Notamacropus eugenii: one gene and its partners. The protein of the gene in region 3 purifies or fractionates together with the protein of the main gene of each other region. This does not show direct contact. Links are inferred from orthologs where the notes say so. Each region holds a gene or a part of one and is shown on either strand. Other genes may lie near its edges.

The links.
Region 1: the proteins of AAR2 (region 3) and TSSC4 purify together in Homo sapiens (affinity purification with mass spectrometry; 3 studies listed by BioGRID and IntAct, counting the BioPlex papers as one, with this or other methods). This does not show direct contact. The link is inferred for Notamacropus eugenii from reciprocal best matches to the Homo sapiens genes AAR2 and TSSC4.
Region 2: the proteins of AAR2 (region 3) and EAPP purify together in Homo sapiens (affinity purification with mass spectrometry; 4 studies listed by BioGRID and IntAct, counting the BioPlex papers as one, with this or other methods). This does not show direct contact. The link is inferred for Notamacropus eugenii from reciprocal best matches to the Homo sapiens genes AAR2 and EAPP.
Region 4: the proteins of AAR2 (region 3) and C1H9orf78 purify together in Homo sapiens (affinity purification with mass spectrometry; 3 studies listed by BioGRID and IntAct, with this or other methods). This does not show direct contact. The link is inferred for Notamacropus eugenii from reciprocal best matches to the Homo sapiens genes AAR2 and C9orf78.

What each region holds. Positions count from the first base shown.
Region 1 is NC_092873.1:25,467,395-25,474,369, forward strand, and holds TSSC4 (U5 small nuclear ribonucleoprotein TSSC4), read right to left. Parts: upstream 2,569-6,975; 5' UTR 1,932-2,568; coding exon 1,056-1,931; 3' UTR 801-1,055; downstream 1-800. Other genes in the region: CD81 antigen, read right to left, coding at 5,821-5,883, 6,499-6,585, 6,945-6,975. UniProt on the Homo sapiens protein: Protein associated with the U5 snRNP, during its maturation and its post-splicing recycling and which is required for spliceosomal tri-snRNP complex assembly in the nucleus.
Region 2 is NC_092872.1:319,044,975-319,052,964, forward strand, and holds the start of EAPP (E2F-associated phosphoprotein), read right to left. Parts: upstream 3,323-7,990; 5' UTR 3,143-3,322; coding exon 3,069-3,142; intron 1-3,068. UniProt on the Homo sapiens protein: May play an important role in the fine-tuning of both major E2F1 activities, the regulation of the cell-cycle and the induction of apoptosis. Promotes S-phase entry, and inhibits p14(ARP) expression.
Region 3 is NC_092872.1:420,101,376-420,109,044, reverse strand, and holds the start of AAR2 (protein AAR2 homolog), read right to left. Parts: upstream 3,368-7,669; 5' UTR 3,214-3,367; coding exon 2,466-3,213; intron 1-2,465. UniProt on the Homo sapiens protein: Component of the U5 snRNP complex that is required for spliceosome assembly and for pre-mRNA splicing.
Region 4 is NC_092872.1:481,405,903-481,414,048, forward strand, and holds the start of C1H9orf78 (splicing factor C9orf78 homolog), read right to left. Parts: upstream 3,076-8,146; 5' UTR 2,868-3,075; coding exon 2,788-2,867; intron 1,832-2,787; coding exon 1,772-1,831; intron 988-1,771; coding exon 936-987; intron 537-935; coding exon 466-536; intron 237-465; coding exon 159-236; intron 1-158. UniProt on the Homo sapiens protein: Plays a role in pre-mRNA splicing by promoting usage of the upstream 3'-splice site at alternative NAGNAG splice sites; these are sites featuring alternative acceptor motifs separated by only a few nucleotides. May also modulate exon inclusion events.

The DNA of each region.
Region 1 (6,975 bases), on a different chromosome or scaffold from region 3:
AATCACTGGGGACAGTAGGCTCCCCATTGGGGGCCTTTAAGTAAAGGGTGGGTAACCAATTGTCAGAAAATCCTTGGTCCGTAAGAGCTGGCCTTGTTGGCCTGTCCAGCTCCAAGACTGTAGAAACACAAGTCCCAGAAGGCAAGGAAAGGCCTATGCAGGGCAGCAGATACTGGGGCCTCAGAAAACCAGGCCCTACCTGCCTGCCTCTAGTGGTCTTTCTCCCCTCTCCCTCTTGCTCGACTGGAGGCCCTGGGCACTGACTGCCTGGAGCTGGGAGCACAACAGGGATGGGCTAATATTCACTGACCAAGTGGCAGGAAACCCTGGCCCCATGAGTCAGGGATTTACTCAGAGAGCAGACCTTCTCTCTGGGTTTCAAGGACCCTGAAAGTGCAAAGTGTGTGTTGGGGGAGAGACAGGAGGGTGGAGGGTGGCGGGTGGCCAATCAAAAGCACCATGGCCTATCCCACAACCAGTCCCTCTTTCGCTCCATCGCAGGTAGCTGCCCAGCATCTGGGTCCAAGACAGGCCCAAAGTCCCCTTCGGGGAAACACCTGCCTGGGGCCACACTCGTGGAGGGCAGGGATCTCCTTATTTTGGGAATAGAGAGGGATGCTCCGAGTCCTGGGTGAACCCCAATGCCAGTGCTAAGGGTACCTTCTATCCCTGTGCCATCAACCCAGGACAAACTAGGGAGCCCAGACGTAAGGAAAGTGGCAGAGGTCTGTACCTCAGGGTAAAGTGGGTGGGCCCAGCGGCCAGGTGGGCAGGCAGGGAGACACCCGGGAGGCTCAGACTTCAGGGAAACCCTTTATTGTCTTCACAAGGTCAAACCAAGTCAGCGGGGTTGGGCGCCTGGTGTGGTCAGGGCCACCAGTGCCAGCAGGAGGGCACGCTCCCTTCCGCTGGTTACCACCCCATGACGCCTTCCCCAACCACACCGGAGGGCGTGGGGGGATGGGGCGGCCGGCCAAGCTGCCCCGGGCAGGTCTTCCATGCGGGGTGGCGAGCTCCGGGGCACCAAGGGCGCTGGGTAGGCTGCAGGGCCGCGCTCAGGGCTCCTCGCTCTCCTCCTCCGCCGGCCCCTTCAGCCGCAGGTGCTCCCTGCTCCTCTTCTTGCTGCCGTGGAAGCCCACGGCCCCGGCGGGGCCCGCCCCGTCCTCCCGCATGTCGGCCTCCTGGGGCTCCGCCGGCGTCCTCGGGGGCTCCTCGCCGTCGCCCTCGCCGTCGGGGCCCCCGCCCGAGCCCAGGTGGCCCAGCGCCACCAGCTCCTCCCCGGGCTCCCTCCACTGCGGCCGCTTGCGCTCGCCGGCCTTGGCCGGCTTGGTGAACACGATCCTGCCGGCCCCGCGGCTCGAGGGGTCCTGGTTGAAGGAGGGGGCGCAGCTTTCTGGGGGCGCGGAGCTCTGGCCGCCTGCCCTCCTCTTCAGGTCCCCCAGGAGCTCGAGGGCCACGGCGCGGTTGCTGCGGTCGCTGCCCTCGGGGACGTCCTCCAGGCTGTACTTGGTCCAGCGCTCAGGATGGGTCACGTAGTCGGGGACCGGGCTGGGGCCGGGCCTGGCAGGCCCGGGGCGGGGCAGGGGCCGCTTGAAAGGGTCGGGGTCGGCCTCCGCGGGGGTCCCGGGGGCGGGGGCCCGAGCCGCCCCCTCCAGGCCCTCAAATATGCTGCGGCTGCGCAGCGAGAAGGTGGGGCTCATGCCCCGCAGGTGGAAGGGGCGCACGGGGCCCTCGGGGGCCTGCGGGGGCTCGGCGGGGGGCTCGTCGTCCTCCGAGGCCGCTGCCTCCTCCAGGCACGGCGGCTCCCCCGGGGACAGCCCGGCCTCCTGCCCGTCCCAGTCCGAGTCCGAGTCGCTGAGCGAGCCCGTGTCCGAGGTGACTTCGCAGTCGGGTGGCCCTGGCCAGGCATCGCCCCCGCCTCTGTCCGCCATGGCCCGGCTCCACGGGGGCTGGCGCCTGGCCTCAATGTCCCCAGGCCGTAGTGCGGGGGCCGGGGAGGCCGGGGGGTCAGAGTCTGCGCAGACGGGGAAACTGAGGCTGGGAACGGAAGCCCCAAGCAGGGTCAGTCATGGGGGAGGGGCAGAAACTGGGACTCGGGGTCACTGCTCCCAGCCCCACCTCTCACAGAGGGGGACGCCGAGGCGGGGCTGCGCCGACCTGGGCCCAAACCCCGAGACCTGCCTCGGGTAGAGCGAAGCTCCCCGGAACGGTAGTCACCATCTTGGGCCTCGAAGATGAGACGGCCCCGCCTCCCGCCCGCACGGCTTTCTGGGAAGCCGAGTCCCCGCACTCCATCGTGGCAGGAGGCTAGGCCAAAAGAAAACGACAACCCCCACAATGCAACGCGATGACGTCACAGTCAGGGGACCGAGCGCGCCGAAGAAAACCTCTGCACGTGACCTTCTGAGAATGAGGCCGGGATCTCGCGCCTGCGCCGTGGCCTCCCGGAAGGCCTGTCCTCGCGCGGTTTTTCGGATAACTGCTTTTCGGCGTGGGTTGAAGGGGGAGGGGGTGGGATGAGCGGAGGACGCTCACAATGCCTCGCGGGGCAGGGCGGTGAGGGGCGTGGCGACGCTGCCTGGGTGGAGGCGTGTAACAGCGTCGCCTGCCGGAGCCTCCCAGCGCCGCACGCCCTAGTGGTGCGGGGCCCCGGAAGGCATATATATGGCGGGGGGGAGGGAGGTTCCGCCCTCCCCACTTCCCTTCCTCCCTCCTCCCTGGAGAAGCCACCCCACCTAGTGCGGGGCTGAGTGACTCCTGATGCTCTTGTTTTCAAATGAGGAAACTGAGGTCTGGGGGGAGGGTGGGGACTGGGGGGAGTCTGGGAGCCCACCCGGATGTTTCGCCTTTGCGAGTGACGTCACCCGTCGTCTGAGCGTCGGGAGGGGAGCCGGCGAGAGCACACACCCTGCGACGCAGCCAGGCTTGGGAGGGGGCAGCCCCCACCCCCGCCCCAGGGCTGCGCGGAGGAGCGAGGAAGGGTGGGGACCCATGTCCCGCCTTGCTCATGGGGCATTCGAGGCCCCATCCCCCTACAGGAGCCCTTGCCCCCGGTGGCTGAGTCCTTGTTTATTCAATTTGCTGCCTTTCGTGCCAACCCCGTCACACAGTAGGCATCTCGGGAACGCGCGCAGCTCGGCCCCCTCCCCCTCCCCTGTCTGGCCGGGCGGGGCTGGGAGAGCGGGGGGAGGAGGCGGGACTTGCCGAGGCTCCCCTCTCCCCATTGGCTGGAGGGCCGCTCCTCGCTACATTGTTGCCTCGTCTTTCCTGCCCAGACGCCGCCGCCGGGTGGGGGCCTGCGTAGCCTGGAGGAGCCTGGGGGGATGGGCGGGAAGAGGCGTCCTTTCCCGGGGTGCTGAAAGAGGGGCCCCGGGACCGGTTTCCGCTCTAGTACTTCCATCGTCCAGTACCTACTGCGTGCCAGCCCTAGACCCCGGGAGCGGCCCACAGACCACCCTGGCTCCCATCCTGGGCCCCCTCTCCAGCTCCAGGCGGCCCGGCCTGGGGCTCCCTGCCCAAGCTGGCCCTGGCATTCAAAGCCTTCCCAACCCCTTTCGGGCCTCGCTCTAGTGCCCGAGGGCCCCCTCCCGCCTCTGGGGGCCCTGTCTGGAGGAGTTTGCCCCCGGGCGCTCGTGTTTAGGGGTACGTGGGTGGCCCCCGCTGGCAAAGCTGCCCTCCGTGCCTCGGCTTCCACCTCTGTAAGATGGGGGTCCTGGACCCCAAGGCCCTTTCTGGCCGAGCCTGGGGTTGTCTTGGCAGAGACGCTGGAGGGGTTCGCCATAGGCCGGGAGGGTCACCCGGCTAGGACAGGTCTGGGGTCAGCTTTGACGGCCCTCCTGACGCTGGCGCCCCGAGCTGCCCGGGGAGGCCGGACTCCAGGAGCCCAGGAAGGGGCTTCAGCCCTCCGCGGTCACTGCGTCCTGTGGGAGGTGGCCGCAGGGCCGGTCAGAGGAAGGCCGGCCGGGCCGAGCCCCCCAAAAAAGAGCCGCAGATTCACGGATCAGAGCACTTGCTTTATTGGATACATGGATTGAAAAGGGGCCGCGTGGGGCAGACAGGCAAACGGACAAGGGGGGACCCTCAGGCCATGCTGTCCCCCCGAGGCCCTGAGCGAAGCAGGGAGGGGGTGGGGCTCCCAGGCTGGGGCAGAGGCAGCAGAGACTGCCTGAGAGGTGTGAGAGGCGCTCCTTCCTGCCAACGAGAGGCATGCGGTTCTGTCGGTCAGTGCCCTCCCAGCCCCGTCTTTGGGGCCACCTGGGGATGGCAGGGGAGGGTTCTGGGGGCCAGGGTTGGGGTACAGGGCCAGCACTGAACTAACCGGGGGGCACTTCCTCCTGGGGGCAGGAGGCTGGAGGGATTTATCTCCCTCTTCGTGCAGGTAGCCCAGGACACCCCCCAGCCTCACGGCAGTTGGGATGGTGCCCACCTCCTGCCATGCTGCTCTGTGCAGGCCGGCGGTCCATCCTAGAGCCTGGGCTCCAGACCTGGGCAGATGCCCAGGAGACAGGGAGATGGTGGTTAAACCCAGGTGTCAAAGGCCTCTCCTTCCACACGTCACATGAGACACCTCCTGGCCCAGCCAGGCTCCCTTCTATGGGAATGCCCCACAGGATGCCCAGCTGCCCACAGAACATAAACACGGAACTCCAAGGCCTGACTGCTGCCTCTAGGCCAAATAACAAGTCCTGGAAAGACATGAAGCCTGGGCCCAGAACATACTCGAGTACATGCAACATCTATGTAAGCACACATACGTGCATGGCCAGTGCACTATGGAAGAGACAGGCCCCAGGAGCTCTGCCCCCTCCCCCCAACATAGGGCATTCTGGGTAGTGTTCCTTTAAGGCTTTCTAAGGTTCAATCACCCACTTCCCATTGCCCACTCTGGGGGGGCCTCCCCTCTGAACAGCCCAGGACCATGGGGGAAGTCCCAGGCAGGAGAGCCGGGTGCTGGTGAAGTGGACCGAGCCTTGTGGCCAAAGATGGTCTTCTATGTCCACAGGCCAAGGTGGCCATTGGCAGTGTTGACTGCCAGGAGGGTGAGAGACAGCTCCCCTCAGCCCAGGCCACTCTGGGGAGGGCAGGAGAGCCAGCTGGCCCAGGCCTCTCTCAGCCTCCACAGGACAGGTCAATTTTCCTCAGAACTGAAGGCCCCCTCCGGAACCCCCTGCCCAGCCCCAGGGGGTCTCCTGCCAAGCAGGGCTCACAGGGAAGGGTCCACACCAGTCTGGATGTTCTTTCCTTTTTATTGAAGTGAGCTGGTTTGGGCCTGTCTTGGACAGCCAAGTTATGGTCTAAGGGGCCAAAGTCAGACATACAAGGCCAGAAAGTGTGAGAACGTCAGAAATGCTCGAGAAAAGTAGATGCAGGAGAAAAGAATGCAGATTGGTTAAAAAAAAAAAAAAGGCTGCAGCTGCAGGAGGGAGGGTGCCTCCCAAGGCTCTCTCCTTCCCCACTCAGAAGGCAGGACCAGCAGGGCCTCCTCCCCTGCCCTACCTCCATGCCCGGGAGGGCCCCACTGAGCCGTGGCCTCAGCCCAGGAGACCCCCTCCAAGGCCCTGGCTACACAAGACCTAGGTGTAGCCAGAGGCACAGAAATGAGTCTGGTAACTTTATTTCAAAAATAAAAACATCCCCTCCCCCACCCCCATGCCCCAACCCTCCAAAGTAAAAATGCTAATAAGTACTGCACGGTAATATCTGAGACATTTCTATACATAATTCTCTGGATTTCTCTCAGACGTCTCCTGGTCACTCGACGACAGTTGCGGGGCTCCTCTCCTGCCTGCCCACACCTCAGAACAGCCCCAGGGGCGGTCCTCAGTACACGGAGCTATTCCGAATACCGCAACACAGGACCATGCTGAGAATCATCTCAAAAATCTGCAGGGAAAGGGGGAGCGCGTTAAAGATGGGGCTACGTCCTCCCCATCTCTCCTTATCCAGGCTAACTGCTCCTCATGCGACACAGGGCCTACCCTGGTCACCCCTCCTCCAGACTCCCTACAGCTTAGCAAATGCGGCCCCCAGAAATGATCACTGTCCTCTGGGTGAGATCTGACTGGGGCCAAGCATAGGGGAACAATCACCTCCCTCCCTCGTCCTGCTCTCAAGGCAGCCCCAGATCAAATTAGCGTTTGTGGAGCTTGTGGCCCATTCAGACCCCCCAGATCTCTTTCTGGACAACAGCTGCCTAACTGCCCCATAGCTTTTTGGTCCTTAATGCCAGACTTTGTATCCATCCTAGGCTGCCCAGCTCATTGCTAGCACTTCTCCTCTCCCCCACCCCCAGATTGGTGTCATCTGTTCCTGTCCATGTCATGGATTCAATTAGAGAAAGCAAAGGCCCTTGGGGACTGCCATCGACTTGGGATTCCACCATCAATGAACAATCATCCAGCTTATCTACAAGTGCTGCCCTGCCAGCCTCTGGAGCAGGGCCTGCCCATGGAGCAGGGCCTCAGGGTGAGCCACCCTTTGGGCTCCCTTCCCGCTCACCATGATGACTGCTACCACGATGGCAGCGATGCCAATCAGATACAGCTTTCCTGAGAAGAGCTCATCTATCTTCTGGTGACAGTTTGCCTGCAGAGAAGAGCCCCCGTGACCAGCATGAACATCACCTGCCCATCCCCACCCCTCCCAGAGTTCCAGGCACTGCCCACCATCTGCTCATCCTTCAGAGGTGGGCCAAGAGAATCGGGCCAAGCACATGGCAGACAGAAAGCACGGACACGAGGGAAAGTCAGATTTAGAGACAGCGCTGTGGGGAGACCCCCACACCCACAGGCAGGACAGAGAGGAGGCATGGTCAATGCTCCACACAGCCCACCCTGAGATCCCCAAGCACAGACCTTGGCCAGCACTGGCCCAACCAGGCCGGCTCATACCTGGCTCCCTACACAGGCAGCCAGCATCTCCATCTGCCCTCGGCCTGGCCTTACCTTAAAGGGCATGGTGAGAACGTTGCTTCCA
Region 2 (7,990 bases), about 100 Mb from region 3:
TGATGGGGAATCACCCACCTACAAAGGACATGACCTGGATCCAATAAAGACTAAGGAAAATAGGAGGAGAACTAAGAGAAAGTAGAAATTGAAAGAATTTAATTCTGTGTACAATCTTGATTAGCACTTTCAATCAAGTTATTTTTCTCTTCGTTCTCTTTGTTGAGGTTTCCCCAAGCAGCCCCGTAAAACTGAAAAGAGATGTTAAGGCAAATGAGATGAATTTTCTTATAAGAAATTAAATGTCAAAATTCTCTTCTACAAAATTTTGTCCATAATTAAATCAATTATTAGGGGATATTTAATCAGTATATGGATTATCCAGGTTCTTTGCTTCTGTCTCCTAGAGTATAGAATCTTGAGTCTCTAAATTTTGGTGGGGAGTGCTGGGACAACAGAAGTGAAACTTGAAATTTCTGATACGTTTATTTTTATTTCTCTTTTACATTTATTTATATAGGGATTCAGTTTTCAAAGTTACTTCTACGAACATATTTAATTTTATCAATGTAAGCTACTCAATGAAAGCTCCTTGAGGGGCTGGGACTGTTTCATTTTTGTCTTTGTATACCAAATACCCAACATAACATACATGGTAAACACTTAATTGCTTGTTAATTGAGTCTCATAAGGACCCAGTAAGGTAGAAAGTACAGCCAACATCATCTCTCTTTTACAGAGTAGTGCGTTAGATCCAGATGGGGGTAAGGACAAGTGAGGGTGAACACAATGTGTATGTTAGTAATGTAATTGGTACCTTTAAACCCAGATCATCTGGTTCTAAGTCTGGTATAATTTCTATTCTACAAATCTGTCTCTTAAAAAAAAATATCTTGTTTTTAATATCTTTTATATTTATACCAGCCAAATGGCACAGTGATAAGAGTACTGGACTTAAAGTCAGGAAGATCTGAGATCAAATTCTGCCTCATACATTTAATTAGCTATGTGATACTGGATAAGTCACTTAACTTCTCTCAGCCTCAGTTTCCTCATCTGTAAAACAGGGATAATAATAGCACCTATACCCCACGACTGTTGTGAGGATTGAGCAAGACAAAATATGTAAAAATGTTTTGCAAACCTTAAAGCACTAAATAAATGCTAGTTTATACACCCATACACATACAAACATATAATGTTCTTTTAGTCTTACAAAGTTGTTAAAAGAAATGGGGAAAGTAGCTCATCAAAATAGTTGTATCCATTGGTTCTGAAAAATGTGTAACATTCCACGTTCTCTCATCTACGGTCTCCCATCTTTTAACCATATTGCCCTTACATAAAAGTCTGATTGAATTTTTGGATGCTATGAGACTTGAAAGGTTATTTATAAGTTTCATTCAACTAGGGTCAACTAGTTTCCTTCATCTCAGCTTACTGACACCGCCGTTACCCTGGTAATCAAAGGCCACATGAGGGTGCAAGGTAGCACAACAGATAGGGCCCTTGGCCTGGAGTCAGTAAGTTTACTTCAAATCTAGACTCAGACACTTACTAAGGCGTGTGAGCCTGGGCAAGTGAGTTAACCTGTTTGCTTCAGTTTTCTCAACTGCAAAACGAGGATAACAACAGCACATACCTTGTAGGGTTTTGGTGGGGATCAAATGAGACAATATTTGTGAGGTGCTTACCAAAGTGCCTGGCACATAGTAGAAGCTATATAAATACTCATTCCCCCCAATCATGTCATGTCTGAGCAAAAGTCACAAGTCTCTCCCCACTACACTCCATCCTCGACTCAGCTGACAAACATATTTTTCTAAAACACAAACCTGTCCATGTTACCATGCTACCCATTCCCTATCCCTTCTCCCACCCCCATCCCACTTTCAATCAACTCCAATGGACCCCAATCACCTTTAAATATAAAATCCTCTGTTTAGCACTCAAAGTCCTTTATAACCTGGCCCCTTTTACCTTTCCAGTCCCCACCACATATTTCACTATTCAATAACACCAGCCTCCTTGATGTTCCACTCACAAGGTACTCCATTTCCCAATTCTGTGCATTTTCATTGGCTATCCCCTATGCCGGTATTCTCTTTCTTCATCTCTGCCTCCTGGCTTTCTTCAAGTCCCAGCTAAAATCCTACCCTGTGCAAGAAGACTTTTATAAAACCTGGAAAGCCTTAGCATGAACTGATTCTAAGTGAAATGAGCTGAACTTGGACAACATTGTGAACAGTAGCAGCAATACTGTGTGCTCATAAACTATGTTAAACTTGGCTCTTCTTAGCAATTCAGTGATCCAAGAGAATTCCAAAAGACTCAAGATGGAAAATGCTATCCACATTCAGAGAAAGAAGTGATGGAATCTGAATGTAGACTGAAGCACACTATTTTCACTTGTGTGTGTGTGTGTGTGTGTGTGTGTGTTTTCCTTTTGCTCTGTTTCTTCTTTCATAACGTGACATATTGAATACGTTTAAAATGCATAATTTATATCGGATAGCTTGTCATCTTGCGGTGGGGGGAGAAGAAGGAGGAAAAACTGGAACTCAAAATCCCATTAAAAATGAATGTTTAAAACTATTGGAAATTGGACAAAATAAAATGCTATTTACATTAAAACATAAAAATAAGACTTTTCTAATCCTTCTTCACAATAGAGCCTTCCTTCTAAGATTATCATCAATTTATGCTGCATATAGCTTGTTTGTACAACGTTGTTGCATTCTTATTAGACCATGAGCAGCAAGCTTGGCTCCCAACTATCCCCCGGCTTTTTCTTAAATTCTGAGCCCAGGAGGCCCCTCCCACTTGTGTGGATGGTTTCAAAGGCTGTTCCTCAGGAAGCACCCCCAAGATCCCATGGGCTCGGCATACTCCTGGCCTCTGCCTGAACACTTCCAGAACAACGGAGCTCACTCTCCCTCCCGAGGCCCCATTTCTTTCTTGAACGGCTGGAACCGTCATAGTTTCCTGACATCAAGCCTGCATCTGCCTTTGTGCTTTGTCCCGGGGCCACTCTGCGAACAGAGACAGACGCTGGAAAGCCCAGCTCCGACGACTGAAGAAGTCGGGGACGTCTTGTCCACCCAGAGCGGGCCCCGCGCCTGGCCTACCTGCTCAAAGCTGGTTCCTCGTCACTGGGCTCTTCAACTACATACGGGTCATCATTTTCAGAAAGCCAGCTCATGATGAGCGGGACCCACGGCCCAGCACAGCCCTTCTGAACGAATCCACGGAGTCACCAGATTGGAGTGGTACTTTCAAAGGGAAGCAGCGAGATGCACTTCCGCTTCCTTGCTACTGCGCCTGCGCTGATAGGTCCCTGGAAGGAACGCCAGGAACAGGGAGGGAGAGGCGGGGCTTGGCTAGGCAGGGCGGGGAGGGGAGGTGGCAAATAGTGGAGCGTCAGGGTCTTGCTACAGTAGCTGCAGAGTTACAGCTGCAGCCCTTGAAGAGGGCTGTTTTTATTTTCTTTAATATTTCATATTTTTCCATTATGTGTAAAAACGATTTTTAACATTCGGTTTTTTAATTCCAGATTCTTTCCCTCCTTCTCTCCCACCTTCTTTGAGAAAGCAAAAAAATTTTGTATATCCTTTAATATTCAGTTCGGGTATCAATTTTGAATTTGTTGTGCAAGATGGTCTAAGGTGTTGCTCTTAGCCTACTTTCTTTCCACCAGATTGAGTTCTGGTTTTCCCAGCAGGTCTTATAAAATAGAGACTTCTTTCCTACAGAATTTATTTTTTTGGATTTGTTAAACATCAGTGAGTGCTACTGTTTCTGATTCTTCCTTGTCTAATCAACTAATCTGTTTTTAACCAATATTAAGTGTTTTTGATCCCTGCCGCTTTATAAGATAGCTTATATTCTCTTCTTCTTCTTCTTCTTCTTCTTCTTCTTCTTCTTCTTCTTCTTCTTCTTCTTCTTCTTCTTCTTCTTCTTCTTCTTCTTCTTTTTACAATCTTTTAATTTTGTTCTTATATTTCTTAGTGTCCCATGGAACCACTGATTTCTGTTTGGTCTGTTTCAGTTTCAGAAATATGTTTTTTCTTCAGTAAGATTTACCATTTTCTCTTCTAATCTAATTTTAAATTGCTAGGTTAATTTTTTATTTCTATTCATCTAGTCCCTCAATTTCTTTCTTCTTATTTTATTATTATACAAACATTTCTAGTACTGTGCTTAATAGTAGTGGATGATAGTAAAGATCCTCTCTGATGGAATATGAAGACTTCCAAACTTTAATATAAACATATGCGTGTGTATTATGTATACACACGCATATGTATATATACACACATACATGCACATATTCTCTTAGCTCTAGAAAGATACTCTAATTCTACAAAAACCACATAAATACTAATAAAAATGTAAGTATTCATCTATTCCTTTTACACTATCAGTCTTGTTGGAATGGAGTTGGGCAAAATAACTTCTGGTCATTTCCTTTATTTCCTTTTCATTTGTTATAAATTCTTCTTTTTTCATTTTTGATATAAATGATCTTGTTTTCCACTCTAAAAAAATCAGACTAGTGTCTAGGTTTTTCAAAATGTATTAATTCAATGAGTTCAATACTTGTTTTTTGTTTTTTATTTATTAATATCATCTTTAATTTCAAGAATTTCTATTTTTATGTGGAATTGAGAGGTTCTGATATGTTGCCTTTGTAGTTGTTTGTTTGTTCTTTAGTTGTGTTCCCAATTTACTGTTTTGTGTGACACAGCCTTTCCCCTAAGGGTTGTCTTATCTGAATCCCACAAGTTTTAATATGTTGGGTTGTTTTTTTTTCTTTGAAGAAATTTTCTATCTCCATGATTTGTTCTTTAACCTCTCAATTCTTTAGGATTGCATGATTTAGTTTCCAATTAATTTTAAAATATTTTTTCAAAGCTCCTATTTTGAATTTAATTTTATTATATTGTTGTGGGTAATACCAGAAAGGGAAGATTTCAGAGAATTTGGAATACTATGAAATAACATGGGGTGATATGAGCAGAACCAGGAGAACAATTAATACAAGAATAACATTTTTAAAAAAAATCAACTTAGAACTCTGATCAAGCAATGAGCAATCATGTCTCCAGAGGACCTACCCATTTCTTGACAGAGAAATCAATGGACACAATGCAGAAACATATACTTTTGGATGCATTACTCAGTGAATTCATTTTTCCTGACTATGATTGTTGCAAGGGCTTTTCCGGGGTAGAGGGCGGGAGAAGGGAGGAGGGGGGAGGATGGAGAGGAGGATTAACAATAGTTGATGCCCCAACGTTGGTGGAGACATTTTAAACTCAAGTCAAATTCATTATCTTTCCCCTTAAATCTTCTTTCCTATTTACCTTTCCTATTACTGAAGAGTACAACACTATCCTCCCAGTCCCTCAGGCTCACAACCTGGGAATTATCTTGGACTCCTCACTATTTCCCATTCCCCAAAGTCAATCGATTGCCAAGGTCTATTGGTTTCACCTTTGCCATATCTTTCAAATATACCCTATTCTCTCCTCTGATACAGCCACCATTCTACTGCAGACCCTCATTACCTCATGCCTAGAGTATTGCAATAACCTTCTAATGAGTGTACCTGACTCCAGTATATCTTGAATTCAGTCACTAACATGATTTTTCTGGGCATTAGGCAGGAAGCCTATGACCACTAGGGACACTGAGCACCATGGGATCCTTCTTGCACTGATATAACAGATAACCACTTTTTAATTTCATACTTAGAAGCCTGGCATCCCTTGAAGTTGGCTGAAATTCTCAACTGCAGAGAACTGATAACACCTTGAATATTGATATTTTTATGTGATCAAGAAGAGTTTTGAGGGGAATAAAGTATGCCTCTTTGAAAGCAGACATCTTAGAAGATCTAAAAATTCTTTTTTTTGTGTATGTAGCCTGAGGAAAGAGAAATTATGGAAGAATGGCACTTAATAACCATTGTGGTCCTCAATGGATGAGATGTCTGGTGGCTAGTCTCTGAATTCTTACTCAAGGTCTGGAAAACTTCCTATGTTTAGAATTTATAAAGAGCAAAGGCACTGATGAGAAATTACTTTAAATTACTTTTTTAAAAAATTAATTTACCAGTCAAGCAATGGTACTTCAATAGGACTGATAAAAATTACAGTACTGGGGACTATATTATCCACCTCTTACAGGTTACCACAGTCTTTTTTTTTTCGTAGTAAACATATTTCCACATTAGTCATGTTGTGAAAGAAGAATCATTACAAAAGGGAAAAACCACAAGAAAGAAAAAAAAGTCAGACAGTAGTATGCTTGGATCTGCTTTCAAATTCCACAATTCTTTCTCTGGATGTAGATAGCATTTTTCATTATGAATCTTTTATTCAGTCTTTTATGTGCCTATTTTGCAGAATGTGGCAAGTAAAATGAGTATTAACAATAAATTTATTAACTAGGCTAGTCAATAATCAATAAATTGATGGTCAGTGGTTTCTGTTAGGTAACCAAAGATGCCAAGGGACAGTACCACATCAGTCTGTCTTCCTGAGAGCAAATTACTGGAAACTCCCTTGCCTAGAGAAAAGAAACCCCTGATTGGTAGACATTTGATGAGGAAATGGACTAAGAGCTTCATGGTCAAGGGGGGAGGTCAGCTGAGGAATGAGACTAGGTCATGAGTTTTGAGACCCCTCTACTAAACAGAACTTAGAGTCCCAGTTGGGCTGGGGCCAGAACTACCTAGTTAATGAGCAGATACCTTGAGAAAACACTTAATACATTTCCTTAGCTAGAATTGTTCAGGGGCTTCTCTTTAAACTAGTAGAAGAGATGGCCTTTTGACAGAAGAGACGTTATTACAAATTTATATTAATAATCAAATGACAGAATTAAAATTAATTTTCCTCACTACACACATCATAGGGCTATGAGAGTTATCAACAGAAGTTAATTACATGTGTACAACAGTTTTTATTGTCATTTTAATGATTTACTTACCTTCAGTTGTACTATACTGTTTTCATTAAAAAAAAAACAACCTTCAACCAAACTTGTGAGAGCTTTTCCAGGCCTTCTATTTCTTTCAAGAGCACTTCCAGGCCTTCTTCTGATTGAGTATGGATATTTTCAGTATGATTCTGTGAATCTCAACTTTGCACTGTGTTCTTGGTCTGTCTTGTGACTAAGACATCCTAGGATCATTGGCATTTTGTTTAGCCATAAATCATAAGCAGATGGAACTTTACCATTCTTTGCCATTCTTTTGCTAGACAAATGCTTGAAGAAAGATTTGAAAGGAAAGGGGTTGTTACTGCTCATTAAACTGATTTTTACAGTGGTTATTTCCTTTGCTCTTTGGTGGTTACAGTACTTTACAGAAGTGGAAGAAACTGCAAGTTTGTGTATTCTTTGAGGATAACATTGCCAATATTTGGTGTGGTTTCAATGTTCTTCTGAAGGTAAAAGATCTGCTCTCACCTTGCACCCTGTTGATGGTCAGCTTTGCTTTTACATTCATGAGCCTTCTTCCTGCCTGTATAAAATTAACCCTTCAGCCAAGTCTCAGAAGCTTTGAATATACTTTGTTAGCTGTGCATTGTCATTTTTTCTTATTCTCTTTCCAAGTACAGGAAAAATTCATTCTTTTGGTCTCATTATGAGTTTGCTTAATTCTAAATCTTTTATGTCAATATGGATTTTACTTGTATCCGCTTTTAGCATGCTTCTTCTTTTTTTGAAAGAGGGGGTAGTGATAGCCCCAGTTATGACCACATTAGCATTTTTAGTAGCCTGTATAACTTTAAAAATTTGAAAATGTACTTGAAAAAGAACTGCACTTAAAATAATTCTCTATTTCTGTTCGGAGGCACATCCCTGATTTTAAGGTTCTTGCAAAAGTGGTGAAAAGTTATTTTCTAATCTCAGTAATGAGATAACTCTGATGAGCGTCACTGTGGGATCTGCACAGATGCTGCCAGCCATCTTTCCTGGACTGGTGTGTCTTGTTTCCTGTTTGCATCTTCCCCTTTTCTTGATGTATTTTTTCTTGTTG
Region 3 (7,669 bases):
AAACAAATGATATCAATATATATTTTAACTCTGCATTTATGAAAAGTTGTCCCTTGCTGTAACCTCAGCATCTGTCTACCTTGCATGTTTACTTACTTACTTCCTAGTTTCAGCTCTGACTCCAAAAGAAAAATTTATACACGTATTTTTATTTATTTAAGTATTTTAAGTATACCCATAGCAACAGTATTGGTCTCTACACAAAATGCTTCAAACAGCTACTAACCATGTTTCTCTCCCAATAAGGGGCAGGAAACCTTCCAGAAGCAACATCCCTTTTCTCATGCTCACCCCCTTCTCCCACTGCTGAGCTCCTTCCAGGGTCTCCATTTTGGGGAAGGGTCCAGGCTGATCAAACTGTGCTTCAGACTCTCTGGACTGCCACCATCCCTCATGTCCCTCCACTCCATTTTCACATCTCTTTTTATGTGCTATCTTCCCCCCATAGAATGTAAGCTCCTTGAAGGCAGGTGTTTGAATTTGTATCCCAGCTCATAGCACAGTGTCTGACACCCTATATTAGCCCTTAACAAATGCTTATTACCTGTGTGCAGTAACTGAGCAAGTTTGTCCTGGTACCCCATTAAAAAAACCCTGATTTGACTATTTCCAGTTCCTTCTTATATCTCCCAGACCTGCTAGTCTGTTTGCATGTGCCTAGGGATATTATACCTTTTAATTCCCACTCATCCTTGCTATAGATTTGGAAGGACCTTCATAAATTCTCTTTCTTCAAAAGAAGCAACTGGGGGAGAAAAAAATACTGTAGAGTTGTGGGGTAAGGGAGGGGAATGAAACAAGAGCAACTTCAATGCCAACTTAACAGTTCTGAGAAATGGAGCCTGAAGTGCAGGGCTCTAAAGGGAAATTATCTTAACTTAATTTCTAAGTTCTCACAATTCTTAGGGGCAATGCATGTATCTGATTTATGACTCACAGGACTCAGAATTTTTTGAGTCAAATGGTATATTAGAAATAACTAATTTTACACCCTTATTCACAGATGGGGACACCAATGCTCAGAGTAGACTTGCTTGAGATCACATAGTGAGCAGGTGGCAGAACTAACCCCAGTGCTCAAGCATCCTGACCCATAATCCAGTGCTTTATACGCTGTAATTACCCAGGGACTGGACAGATGTTGGAGACATGGGGAAGCATTTCAGGAACTGCAGGAAAAATCACAGGGGAATGAGAACTACAGGATGTGCTAGGGGATATAGAGCAATGGAATAAACTATTCCTCAAAGAGAGCAACAGGAGGCCAATGGGGGAAATGACGATGAGCCATCAGGGTGAGCAGATGTGTTAAATGCTGCAACTCCACCAGCTACCTTTGTAATAAACAAACACTGTTAAATCGTAATGCTTAGCAACTAAACTTGAGTGTTCTGTGGGTGACTGGCAGTGCTATCTCAGCTTCACAGGAGGACTGTAAAAATTTATTACACCTTGAAAAGTGCTTTGTAAGGCTTTGTGTAGCCAAAAAATCCTGCTGTACACTAATCAACTTTACAAGTGCAACATTCCACATGAATAAATTCTATAAACCTCAGAGAACTAATTCTTGGTTCACTGACTATGCAACCAGACTAGCACCCAAGAGAGCTCTGCACATCCTGTGACAGGACTCTAAAGTAAATTAAGGGAATAAAATTGTAAAAGGATTCAATAGTTCAAGAGGAATGTCCCTCATTTCATCTCCACCTCTGGACATCCTATGGTCATTCTAGGTCCAGCTCAAATTCTAGTTCCTCTGGGAACCTTTATCTAAGTTCTTTGGCTAGTGGCATGGCATGTAGAGTTCTAAGGGACCTTATAGGTCACATATTACAACTGTTTCACTTAGAAACTTGATCTCATAGTTCTTTGTACTCCGTATTCCATTTGTATTATATTTATCTGTATACTCTTAACTGTAGTATTGTATTGAGCTCCTTGAGAGATGAGGTTGGGTCTTACTTATCTTTTTATTTCCTACTGTGTTCTGTACATATACTTAACAATTTGTTAAATGTTGAAGAGGAAAGCTGAATAGAATTGCTGGATATGCTCTACAGTAGGAGACAGGAGACTGTCTTAGGCAAGTACTTTCTTCTCCCTGGGCATCAAGTCATGTGCAACATAAAGGAGAAGTTGGACTCTGTGCTAGATCCGACAATCTACAATTCCTTAAGAGGAGCTACCAAAGTGTTAGGATCTATCAAGGCCACTTCGTATAAGTTTTATTAGAGCTCCAGGAGCTCTAATAAAACTTATAATACTCATAATACATAAAACTCATAAAACTTAGGCTTCATTTGACTAAAACGGCAGGATGGTGAAGACTGGTCCAAGACCAGTGAGTGCTAAAGCCTGGGCTCTTGAGTCCAGTGACTCCAAATTTCGAGCTTTTCTCACGACCCCGCCTGGACTTTCGGCCACCTCTCTTACCTTCGGGACAAAAGGGAAGCAGTCATACCTACCCAGGACATCCTGGGGGTTGGCGGAGTACTGCCTGCTGATCACAGTCTCGAGGGCGTAGCTCAGGTCCATGCTGTGCTTGGTGATCTCGGCCGGGCTGGCGCCGTCGGGGTAGGTCTGCTTGGGCAGCGGGGTGAAGCGGATCTCGGTGCCGGCCCTCTGCTTCATCTGCGGCAGGCGGGCCAGGCCCTCGCGGTAGCTCCGGCACTCGGCGCCGCAGGCCGGCGGGCCGCGCTCGGCGCGGTCCTTGGTGTAGGTCAGGGGCTGCACGGGCAGCACCTCGGAGAAGGCGCAGATCTGCCCGCTCTCGGGCTGCAGCCGCCGCACAGCCTCCTCGCTCAGGCAGCTGCTCAGGGACACCCACTTCCTCAGCAGGTCGTGCGGGTAGGGCCCCAGGAAGCGATCCAGCTCCTGCAGGCTGGCCCGCACGGCCTCCAGCTGAGCCTCGGGCGCCGGGCTCAGGTCCAGCTCCTCGCGGGCCGCGTCCCAGCGGAGCAGGCGCAGCGCCCGCGGCCGCAGGCTCACGAAGAAGCCCGTGCGCGGGCCTGTCTCGCGGGTCCCCGAGGGGCTGCGGCCCGCCGCGCTGTAGTGCACCAGGTGGACGCCCGGGGGGATCATCTTGACGCCGCGGAAGCGCGGGCCCACCTGCCACGAGCTGCAGTCGATGCCGAACTCGGTGCCCTCGGGCACGCCCAGGGCCACCACCGTGGCGCCCTCGAAGAAGAGGCTCCGGGCCAGCTCCGGATCCATCGGGGACGCCCAGCCGCCCTTCGAGGCCCTCCTGACCCGAGCTCGGGACGCTGGGGCCCCGGAGGACTGAGGGCCGGCGGCCGAGGCGCCCCGAGGGATCGTTTCCCAGGCCCGGCTGACAGCTTCCCCTTAGCGGCCGCTCCCGCCGTGCGCCGGAAGTGCGGCCGCTTCCTCCCGGGATGGGGACGCGGGTGCAAGGGGAAAATGCTCCCTTCCCACCCGGGGGCGGTGAGAGAGGGGTTCCTACATCCTTGGGTTCCGCCTGCCACCCCTGGTGTCCCCATAGAGTGCCTGACGCTCTAGACCTCGGAGTCCTAGAGGAGCACCTAGCACAGTGCCTGGAACGTAGTAAGCGCTTACTACGTGTTTATCGACCGACAACTCTTCTGATCAATACAAGGATCCGAAACAATTCCGAAGGACTTAGATGAAAAATGCTGCCCACCTCCAGAGGGAAGGAACGGATGGTGTCCGAGTGCAGCCTGAAACATAATGTTTTCCCTTTCGTCATCTTTCTTGCCTTTTTCTCTCGTTTTCTTCGCGATATGGCTAATACGGAAATGTTTTGCCTGACCTCACATGTTTAATTGGTTCATCACATTTCTTGTCTTCTCATGGGGAGGCTGAAGACTGAGAGAATTCAAAACTCAATTTTTTACGTAAATTACATATCTATCTATCTATCTATCTATCTGTCTGTCTGTCTGTCTGTCTGTCTGTCTGTCTGTCTATCTATGGGTTTGCTCCAGGTCCTGCCCCACCCAGGCAGCCAGTCACCAAGCCTCACACTCACAGATGTTCACAGCTGGAAGGCATCACCTGCCACCAGGATCTGCGCAGCCATCCCTTCTACAGGGTCGACCATCGGTGGCCCTCTTTCTTTCACTCGAAGACCTTAGTGACAGGGAATCCACTCCCTCACAAGGCATCTCAATCCACTTTTAGAAAATTTAGATTTTTAAGAAGATTTTTCTTGAGGTGGATCTACAATCTACCTTTCTAATTCCCACCAACTGTTCCTAGTTTTGCTTTTTTTAGGGCCAAGAAGAACAAGGTTAGTCTCTCTTCCAGGAGAACCCTCCTTGCTGCCATGGACCTGGATCTTCTCTTTCCCCAATCCAGACACCTGAGGGACTTCCACCTGAGAGTCCCTATCTGGAAGAGGTGCCCTGTAACACTCTTAACTGGAACCTTGGGCTGATTTAACCTAATTGGTACTCATCCTGTCCCATGGAGAGAATATTTCTACCATCTTCCACACTTGGATGATCTCATTCATGTAGGAACTTCCAAGGATACAAATCACCACCCATAAACACCCTATCATTCTCTGTGATTATTGACCACATCCTTCCATAAATCATCTACAGGATCTCCATTGGACCATTCAGTGTACTCGGATGGTGGAATGGAATGGAATGGAATGAAATAAGCATTTCTAAAGTACCTGCTATGTGCCAGGCACGGTGGCAAGCATTTTACAAATACCTCGTTTAATTCTCACAACAACTCTTCGAGGTAGGTGGGGGAAGGGTGTTTCTCTAGTTCTCTCAACCTTACATGTATGTCAGCAAGAGGACTATCTATTGGTTATGCCTCCCTCTTTCAGTATGACCTGCCCACCTTCCTTTTCAGTAGACCACAGTATATCTGATGGCATCCTTTTTTTCTGCTTTTCTTGCTTGGTTAGTTGTAAATTACACACGCACGCACGCGCGTGCGCGCGCAAAACATTTTGCAAACCACCATGCATTCTATAAATGTCAACAATTATTATTAGTGTGTCATAGCTTACTCATGCTGATCATATGCCTCTCCACTGCCTGTCCTCTAATCCCCAAAAGGAATACAGCAAATGATTAAGATAATTAGTATTAGTGACTCTATTTTGCTTTTATGTACCATTTTATGAAGTTAATATTTCAAATCCACGTAAGTCACCTGATTTAGGTTTCACGCCTGACTTAAAGAATGTCACAAGAATACCCCTCTTCCTCTCATCTCAGTGTCTTCCGATCCTCTCCCCCATCCCAAATTCCACCAAGGAGAAACCAGATGTCTCAATCCCTATAATCCTGTGTTTTTCCAGTTTTTTCTACTCCTTCTAAATTATATATTAACTGTGAGAAACAAAGCTTCTGGGTTCTTAGTTACCGTGAGTCTTGGACCCGGTTTGTTTTGCAACCACATGCATTGCCAATACATCATTGCCCAGAGGCAATTATTCAGTTCCTTTATTCCTCCATAACAGATGGGAGTGGGGAATGGGACAACAAAAGGAGGGGACGGTTGCTATCTCCATTCAACAGCTTTTCTCTAGTCTTGCTATTGAATTATTGTGTGGACCACAGAGAGTAATCTCACCATAGCTCCACTGAAGTCCTTTGCAGTCTTGCTAAATGGAACTCCTGGGGTGATCTGCAGGCTCTCATGGGTAAGATAAGAATGAAAATTACTTTTCTGATCATAACACAAATTAGAATTTACACTGAAAGTCTGAAGTATAGCTGTGGAGTTAAGTTCAAAAGACCAATTTAAATGCCCAAGTGCATCTGAAATCACAAAAGAGGTTCCCTGCCACTGGGAAAGAAGTTGTACAGGAGCTAAAGACCAGCAGAGAGCAGCATTGCAGAGAAAACAAATCTCAGGACAAGATTCCAGCTCAGCAAAGAATCAGGAACACTATATTAGGGAACAAGCATCTACATCAAAAACAGGGCTCGAAGTCCTTCTCTCTTCCCTAACTCCTATCCTCATATCAGGGAACTTCAATATATGTGTTGATACCTTCTCAGATACTCTAGCTTTCTAGTTTCTCAACTACACAAAGAGATAGTCACACCTTTGACCTTGCCCATAACCCATTACCCATAACACTTCCATGTTCATAAGCTCTGAAAATCCTTTATTTCACAATCTATTTTCCTTTCACCTTCCCCACTTTTTATAACCCTTAATCTTATCTTCATCTTCATTATGACCTCCATTCTCTCTATCCCTCAGTTCTTTCCCAGGTCATCATACCTACACTGGCTATACTTTTCTCCCTTTCCTATCTTGAACTCTTAATGAACCAATTTAACTCCATACTATCCTCCAGTCTCCTTTACTTACACCTTGCTTTTTAAGAAGATCAGGAAGGACTTGCTGAGATCTTTTCAGGGCTGCTCATCCACCTTTGGTGCATACCTTTCACCCAGTTCTCACCTGTGGCTCCAAAAAGCTATAGCATGAATAGTGGCCACACGCCAGTGTGGCAGACAGGCTAAACCAGGTTGAGGGTAACTCGGTGAGTTGGGGAGGTGTCTACACCAAGCATGGCAGAATGGGTAGATGAGAACAATTTGTTACAAAAACCTTGAAGGCAACTAAAACAGGGGCTGTGGGGGCCTTAAAACTTGGTCAGACATCAAAGACACCAAGGTCATCCACTACATCCCAGGCCATTGTCAACTGTCTTGACTTTTGTCCTGCTACTGGACTTTGATGACTCTTGAAGAGAGGGTGAAGCTGACAAAATTGTGCAACTTTTCCTCACTTAAATCCAGTTCATTCAAGAGTCAAGACATCACACTATGATGTCATTTGTCCTCTGTGAAAACAAAACATGAACAGCAATACCGTCCTCTACCCTCAATTCCCTTGACTCCTTGTCCTACTGACAATCATGACTTGCCAAGCCCAAACCCTGGACTACTGCCACTATCTGCCTCCTTTGCTCCTATCCACATGCTGTTGCACAGAGCTAGAGGAAATCACAAAATTGCTAACTATGCTACAAATTTAGGTTACATAATCTCAAATGGGCCCTCACTACAGCAAGACATTCTATTCCTAATTGATTTGCTGCCCCACTCTCCACAATAGCTATTCCAAACATTCTCATTTTTCCTTAAGTCTCCCATGACACCCTAACCCCCACTATCTCAGATGAAGAGTTCCCTTCATATTTCATTGAGTAAAATGAAGCTACTCCAGCACTCCCCCTTTTCCCTTCCTCTTCATCTCATTTCAATCAGATATCTTCCCTGCTTATCTCTTCATTCTAGTGTACAATAAAGAGGTGGCCCTCCTTCAAAGGCAACCTTCCATATGCAGTCTTGATACTGTCTTCTGCCATCTTCTCTAGCAGATTGCTTCTACTTTTACCCTTACTTTTTCCCTTATACTGAATCTCTCCATATCTATTGGCTCCTTCACTGCTACTTACAAACATGTCCAAGTCTCCATCCTTGAAAACTTTTACCTTATTCTACCATCCCCACTAGTGATAGTCCTTTATCTTGTCATCTCAAATTAAACTCCTTGAGAAAGCTACCTACGCTGCACCTCCCGTCTTCTTACTCTATTTGAAACCTTCTGTAATCCGACTTCTAACCTCTAGCCATTCAACAGCATTCTAATCTCTAATACTAATCTGAACTCCAGTCATTTAACCATTCTAATAATTCAATAG
Region 4 (8,146 bases), about 61 Mb from region 3:
GGTCTTTGAGCAAGAAAGGGTAGGAGACAGAGAAAGGAAAATAATTCTGAAGCCTTCTAGAAGCTGCAAACATTTCTCTTGGTTCAGCTAGGAAAGAGGATTTAGAACCCACAATAAAAACCTTATCTGCTCATACTGTAAAAAAAATAAAAACTTACATGTCAGCATCTTCATCCCTTCGGTTGGTTTCTGCTGAAAATGATGTTCCTAAGTTGAGGTCCTCCTCTTCATTAATCCTAAATGGAGACAGAGTTATGGTATCTTTAATATTTCCTTGGAAAACAATGTACTAAATTCATTAAAAAAAAACAACACATAAAATAGTTATTCTTTCACAGCTTCTGTTTTCCCCAGTCTCTCTGAGGATGCAAGTGAGTTTTCCTACTACTGTGGACAATCAAAATTGAGTGTAGTAACAGGGAGAGAAAATGTTCTCAATGGTTTCTAAAAATGTTTTCTACCAACCTGTCCTTGTTTCTCTCCTTAAGTTTCTTCATGTCCACCATTCCACCAGTCTTGATCTTAAATGGATCATCCTACCAAATAAGAAAGATAATGATGATAATGAAAAAGCAAATATGGTTTATAAATTAGGTGGGGGAAAAAGATAATTTGTCATTCATGTTTTTATCACCCAGAGTTCAATTATCAAACAGTTATTAAGCACTTACTATGTATTAGGAACAGTATTGGGTGCTAGACCCTAACACTCAGGATCCTGAATAGGTGAGGTATCAATAAATGCTGGCTGATGTAGGATAGATAACCTTTCTGAAGGACAACCTATTTCAGTTCTGCTCATCATACAACTGTGCTTTACTGAACTATATCACACTATTTTACTGAACTAAATCACTTTTAACTTGGTAACCTTTCAGGGTCATCCTTCCTAGCCAAATATTACAGCATTCACCAGAGATGTCCACAAAACTCACCACTAGAGTTGTCTCTTCTTGTACTTTCTCTCCAACCAGGAGGGCTACGGCACTGAATAGAAAAAATGGTGGGTACAACTCAAAGATAGGAAAAGGTAAAGCAATCAGTTCAGAAATTCATTATTCAGGCTGACAAGTAAAACTCATATGAATAATGGGGGCCAAAAAGGCATGTCATGAAAGATCACATCTTTAAAAAAAACCCAACCAGACTAAAACGGATGCCAACTCTCAACTTTACAGATATGTTCTTCGTTCTTAGAGCTAGCTAGATTTAGAACTAGATTTAGTCCAGAACTCTATCTCTCTCTCCACCTCCCCCCACCTCAGGTCAAAAATGTAGGGAGAGCCAGCACTTGAACCCAGGTCTTGTGATTCCAAATCCAGTCCTCTGTGTACTGCTTCCATTCTGCATGATCTTTCCAAATATCACTGACAGTGCCTCAAGACTTCTGCCAGTTCCTTCAGTTCCCAAGGATATAAACTATGCGGTCATGGTGACTTGAATTCATCAAAGGTAACTCTTTAAATTTTTTCTATCCTGTTATTTTAAGTGCAAAGGTCATTCTCCTTAGCAGAGAAAAATGAAGCAAAATAAACACTAAACATCTCTATTTTTTACTCTGCATACTCCTCATTTTGAACTATTGACAAGCATCTGGAAAAAGCAAGGGAAGTCAGGTAGGCGATGGAATGCCCTGGTATACAGTTTAACATAGAATATGGGCTATTTCAAGTAGTTATGCATTTGTCACAGTATTACACAAAGGGGATCCAGGACATACTTTTTTCTTCTCTTCTGACTGTGGTCCCCAATCCAAGGTGGCTAAACCTACCTCACCCCATTAGGCCGTCTCCTCAAGCTCTGAACTTCTTTGGTTTCCTCAAGCTTCAACCTGAATATAACACAGAGAAATAATTAAGCAGTCCAAACATCAAAATAAAACGGGGTCTGGTTATTGAGAGTTCCATCCACTGGCGCTGAGGCTCTGTCCCCAAAAGGGACACTGTATTTCCAACTACTGGACAGGTTCAGAAAGTCTGACAGATTTCCTCATCTGCTGGGGGACAACAGTCCCTGAGTGTAGCAGTTTTTGACCATCCAATGCGTGTACATGTGTTCATAGGAGAGGATTGGGGGAGTTTAAAAAAGGTCAAGAATTAATTTTTTTTTTAGAGTGACAAATTAGGTTTCAGCATATCTCCTACCTATTCTCTTTCATTCTCCCCATTCCCCTCCCTTCTTTCCTAGATTTAATACAGTCCTGTTTTCTCTCGGAAGAGAGAAGTTTTGTAAATCTTCTGTCTAGTATGAGGCAGAGCATAACACACATATAAGTCAACGCAGGTAAGAAGAAGAAGGTTTCTACTGCCCAGCTCACAGGGTAGTTACGGGAATCACAAGACATTATGTGTTACATAAACGTCAGATGTGACACAAGTAACACTCTGAAGGAACGAATGAATTGTCATTGGAAGAGAACACACGAAATATACATTCAACAGTTGCCAGTTAAGACAACAGCATTCCAACAAAGGCAAAACCAGTGCCTGTCCTCCGAGAGCTCCCATTCTGCTACGGGGGCAGGAGGGCAGCATCTTGGTCGCGGGGAACCCCCGCAGCTCTCGCATCGTTTTGGGGGTGCTCGCTCCCCCCGGGGGGCGGAGAAGATAAAAGCCGGGCAGTACGAGATCAATCCCGCAGGCTCGGGGTTAGGGTCAAGGCCGGCTGCCCTCCCGTTCGGACCTCGTCCTCCCACACCAGGGGCTCGGCCGATCCCGGAGGGATGTCATTGGGTCGGGGCTTCTCCGCACAGCAGTCCAGCCGCCCCCTGCCCCGCTCCCCACTCACCGGACCTCCTCACTGTCTTGCTCGTCTGACTCCGACTCCGAGTCGACGCGGCGCTTGCGGAAGGCCTTGCCGGCCCGCATGGTGCCCCGAGCCCGGGTTTCCACCAGGGACTGCCGCGGGGTGCCCCCGATGGGGCGCCTTGGCCCCGGAGCTGCGCAGCTGCTCAGGGCTGCTTCCGGCGCAGGCCAGTGCGGTCAGCGCTGCGTGCGGCCGCGGCGGCGGCGGGCCCGCCTCCGGCTCCAAGGGCCCGCGCGGGGCGCTGCCCATAGGGCCGCGTGCTCGGAGCCCGCCCCGCCCCGGCCGGCCCCGCCCCTCCCCCGTGCCGCCGCCGCCGCCCGAGCCGCGGGGATGGGGAGCGGGCAGCCGTGCCGGCGGCCACTCGGGAGCCCAGCCCGCCGAGGTGAGTGTGGGCGCGCGGGGCGAGGGCCGGCCGTTATCCTTCCGAGCCGCGGGGGCGGGGAGGGAGGCGGCGATCTTCTGCGGGGGACGCTCCCCCCGCCTCCCTCCCCTTAATTCCTCTCCCCTCTCATGGCACTCCCCTTTCCTCCTCTCTCATTGCACTCTCCTCTCTTCCCCCTCCCCCGCTTTCTTTTTCCTCCCTTCCCCTTTCATCCTCCTCTCCTCTCCCCTCCCAAAGCCCAAAGCTTGAGCGGTGGTCGAAGTTGTGCCAGCATTCCAGCTCAGCCCCTCGAAGGTGCCTTCCAGCGAGACAGGAGTTCGGCAGGTACACCAGGTGTACCAGTGTCTCTTCTGAATTTCACTAATTATCTAATTCAGACTGTAGAAAGTTGGCCTTTTAAAAAATGAATGAGTTAGCCTAAAATAATACTTTTAAAAGTAGATTGTATTTGGGGACTTAAGAAACATTGTCACAGCCCTAAGGTGAATTTTTTAAAGGAAAACGTTTACAACTTTCCCTCCTCTTGTTATTTTTTGAAAACTAAACACCACTAACGGCCGCATCAGGCCCCAGGCCTCTGTCATCCCTAGCCAGTCCAGAAGGGAGCCTCCTATATTTTTAGTTGACATTACTGTGGTAGCCTAATGATCACTGGATTCTGGAGGGAGAAGATTCTGTACTTGATTTTAATATTTACTTGCAAGTGACATTAGCTAAGTTCCTTATTGATTCTATAATTTGCTTTGTTGTAGGTAAATGAAAGAGAATAAAACTTCCTCTCTTACACAGGTTCTGTGACGATTAAGTTCACCTTTTAAAAATGTGTTTCCAGAAGTCTAAGGCTTTATGTTAGTATATAGTAATTGTTTCCTTTTTTTTAACCATAGGAGAGGTCATTTCTTTTAGTAGTTCAGATCTTCCACTAGCAAGTTATCCCAATTTTAATGGAGTCACAGTCCTCATTTACCCTCCCTAGATATGCTTTTCAGTTGCTTATAATGTATACACCAATGCTGATTGGTTTTTTGTCATACCTTTGAACTGCCAGTGTTGGCTGGTGTCTGGGAAATGGATTGGTTTTTTCCTTTGGAAGGGTAAAGCTTGACCTGCCCTGGGCGTATTACAGTATATCATACCAAGCCTGAAAGGTAGATGGCACCAGGTAGTTCCACGTAGGTGTCTTTAAATACAACTGTATTTGTAGGCATCAAGGACTGGAAATCTTGTCTCACAACCATTGTTTTGGTCATTGCTTAGCTAAGTACCCCTCCAAAGATTCTGAACTTATACTCTGGCTGTGACCTAGGCCCCTGTGCACTAACTATACCCTTCTAGGAAGAATTGAGTGGATAACCTGCATCATAAGCTATGACTGAATGAAAGATTGGCACCTTTGGTTTAGTTAGCACAAATTAGAAGACCTGGGTTTGAATTCTGACTGCCACTTTTTTGCTTTGTGATCTTAAATCACTTAAAGCTGATGTTTCTGTTTCCTCATCTGTAAAATGGGACTGATAACTGTATTTATTACCTACCTCACAGGGATTTTGTGAGAATTGAATAAGGCCATGGCTGTAGACAATGGATATAAAAGCATTTTATAAACCACCAAGTGTTACTTTAATTTCAACTTTTGTTACTATGAATTTAGATTTAATAAATGTTTTTTAGATTGAGTGGTGAGAATATTTTGATCTTTTTGTTTTGTTTTAGGAGGAATGTTTAGTTCTGGTTTGAACTGGTTTGCTAGCTATTTGCTTAAAAAAAAACCTTTAGTTTAGGTTTGAGATCAGTAAAATTAATATTTGTGTTAGGCAATTAGTATTTGTGGTTCAGCAAATTGGTACCATTTGTTCTAATTCCTAGTTTGATTGGTGGTGCAGTGGAAAGATCACCAGATCTGGGTTCTGCCACTAACTTTCAGTGTGACTGTGGGCATGCCACTGTCCTACTCTAGCCCTCAGTTTTCCCAAGATGAACAGGTTAGACTAGATTATGTATCATCATCAGCTTTCCAGCTCTAAAAAACCACACATCTAAGTCCCCGTTTAAAAGTCACTTAATTCACACTTCTCTATAGAAGAGGTATCTGACACCACACACAGGCAGCATGTGTGCAGCCCCCAACATTCCCCAAAACATTGGAACAAGATGAAAATGTAATTGGAAAATATTTAATAAGACAATGAGATGTGGTTTCCTAAGTCAGTATATGGCCTCCAACGATCCTGATATTTGGTTTAATGATCTGGTTTCTGTTTGAGTTTGACACCACTGCTCTAGTATATGTATGATAATTAAGCTAGCATTGATATAGCTCTTTAAAGTTTGCAAAGTACTTTACATATATTTTACTTTATCCTCACAACAGCCTTGGGAAGTAGCTGCCATTATTATCCCCATTTTATAAATGAGGAAACTTGAGGCAGATAGGTTAAGTGACTTGCCCTGGGTCAAACAGCCAGAAAATGGCCAAAATAGAACTCCAGTCCTCCTGATTTCAGTCTAGAGCTTTATCCCCTGCACCACTTAGTTGTCTAGGAATGCCTCCTGTGTGTGTTGTTTTTTAACCAGGCCTTGTTGATTTCTCCTACCCCTATCCAGTCCTCCACAATGTATGAAAACCCTGTCTTATCAAATCACTGTTTCTTGTGCAGGACAGTAATGTCAGGTGCTATAAGGTTTTATAAGTACTAGTTATGGTCCCTACTCTCAAGAAGCTTACATTTAGTTGAGGAGTCTAGATCATTACAAGTGAAATCATTCAATTAACTAGTATTTATTGAGTGCCAACTGTGTGCTAATCATAATCACTGAAGATGGAACAAGGACTGATCTGTACCTCCAATGACCTTACATGTTAGGGATCTAAGGGGTAGAAATAACAGCTACAATATTAACAGACGTTTGTTTATTATACTGCTTTACGAAGCACTTTCATTACAATAACTCATAACTAATGCAAATTAAAACATCCCCTGCCTTTCTTAGATTGTTGTTTGTCTCTTTTTGTTCCAGGCATCTTTGACAGTGCCTTGAAGCAATAGATATTTGATAAGTGTTTGCTGAATGGTGTGTAAAAATATAAATATTCATGTTGAGTGTAACAGTAAAAATATTTAAATACTAGTTCAAAACAACACAGGATGCCATAAGGTCGTAACTGATTGTGCAGCCAATTATATAGCCAATAAATGCCACTGGGAGCCAGCCATCACTGAGAACTGGGCTGGGCTGTCCTTGAAGGAGGCTTGGAGGAGATGGGGCTAGAGCCAGGTCTGGAAGCTTAGGCAAGAAAGGAGTCTTGCTTGCTTTTTCTCTTGTGGTCCTGTGCGACTACCCCAGCTCCCCCTGGATTTCTAAGGCTTATGTGCCCCGTCAACACCTCCACCCTCTCCCCGCAAAAAAGGCTATATATACCGCCTAATAGAATGCAAGTTCCTTAAGGACACAGACTGTGTCTTTTGGGGTAGAGGGGCAGTCTTTGTCTCCCACACGACTCGGAGGTAATGGGTGCAAGTTTCCTCCTACAGAACACTGAGTTATTGACAGCTGACACTGGTTTGCTCTCAAGGAGATGGCAGTCCATAGGAGAAAGGACAGGACAGATGTTTGGTGATAAAGGCGATGGTGCTTTTTCTTTTTTAAAAAAAGGTTTTACTGATTCTCTTTCAAAAAACAAAAGTCACTGTCACTTTACAGTGATCCCACCCACCCACCGCACAGTCTTCTCTAACAAGTAAAACCTGCGTGCAAAACACATCTTTCCGCCCCCCACCCCCCACCCCGCTCCCCCCACGTTGGCCGGGTCTAAAGAATTCTTGGTACGGCTCCTGTAGGCCCCCATCTCCGCAGGCAGGCTGAGCACGGTCCCCTTCCCAGGAGGCTATAACCGGGGCACTGGGGGAGAGGGCCTCCCCAGTGAGCCCCAGGAGACCCCGCCTCCTGGGCTCCGAGCTGGGACGCCTGCGGGCCCCGCCTCCACCTGGGCCTAGGAGCGGCTTGGCTTCCCCAGCCCACGCCCCGGGCTCGTTCGCTCGTGGCCTCTCTCTCCGGGTGGGAGGCCCTTCCCCGGCGCCCCCTGCCCCTGCTCGGTGCGCGGACCAGCCCGGCGCGGCCCCCTCCTGCCCCAGCCCTCCTCTCTACCTGTCCCCCCGCCCCCTTCCCTCCCTCTCTGCCCGCGAGTCCGCTCCCCCACCCCGGGCGTAGTCCCGGACCCCCGGCCTCGGCAGGAAGGCGGGAGGAGACCCCAGGCCCTGGGGTGCCGAAGCCGCAGCCCGAGCCCGAGAGAGGAGAGGCGGAGACCGAGGAGGGCGAGGACCCGAGGAGGGGGCCGGTGAGCGGTCAGGGGCCCGGTTCTGCCGTTGGGGAGCCTGGGGGCCTGGCCCCGGAGTTTAGCCCACCCGAGCTTAAGGAATTGACTGGAGATGGGCGGGGGAAGGTTCGAGGGAGAGGGGGAATGAAAGGATGGGGGAGGGAGAACCAGACCCACCAACTAAGAGGGGAGAGTTGGGTAGAGGGCGAAGGTTAAGAGAGGGAAAGTGGGAGGACTCGGGGAGAGTTAAAGGGGGATGGGACAGGGCTAAGAGAGAAAAGGGAGAACGGGGGAGGGTGGCGAAGGTGAGGCCAGCTTAGAGAGGTCCGGGAGTGAGACTAGGGGAGGAGCAGGAGAGGGTTCAAGGAAAGGGGGCTTGTGGATAGATCGAGGCCGGTCAGGGACCTCTCCCCCGCCTCCACCAGATAAGGAGGAGAAGTTTGGTCAGTAAAACCTCGGAGGAAATTTTGAGGTGGGGGGTGATGAAGGTTAATAGGAACCAGCATCTTTTGAAGACAGAATTAAGGGAATAAAAGGGAGTCAAACAAGGCATGGTGGGGGGAAGCGAGGGGGAATGGTTTAGAAGGAAGCCTGCAGTTGTGTTGGAAAGGGGATGGAGTGCATTGGTAACTCAGAAGAATTAG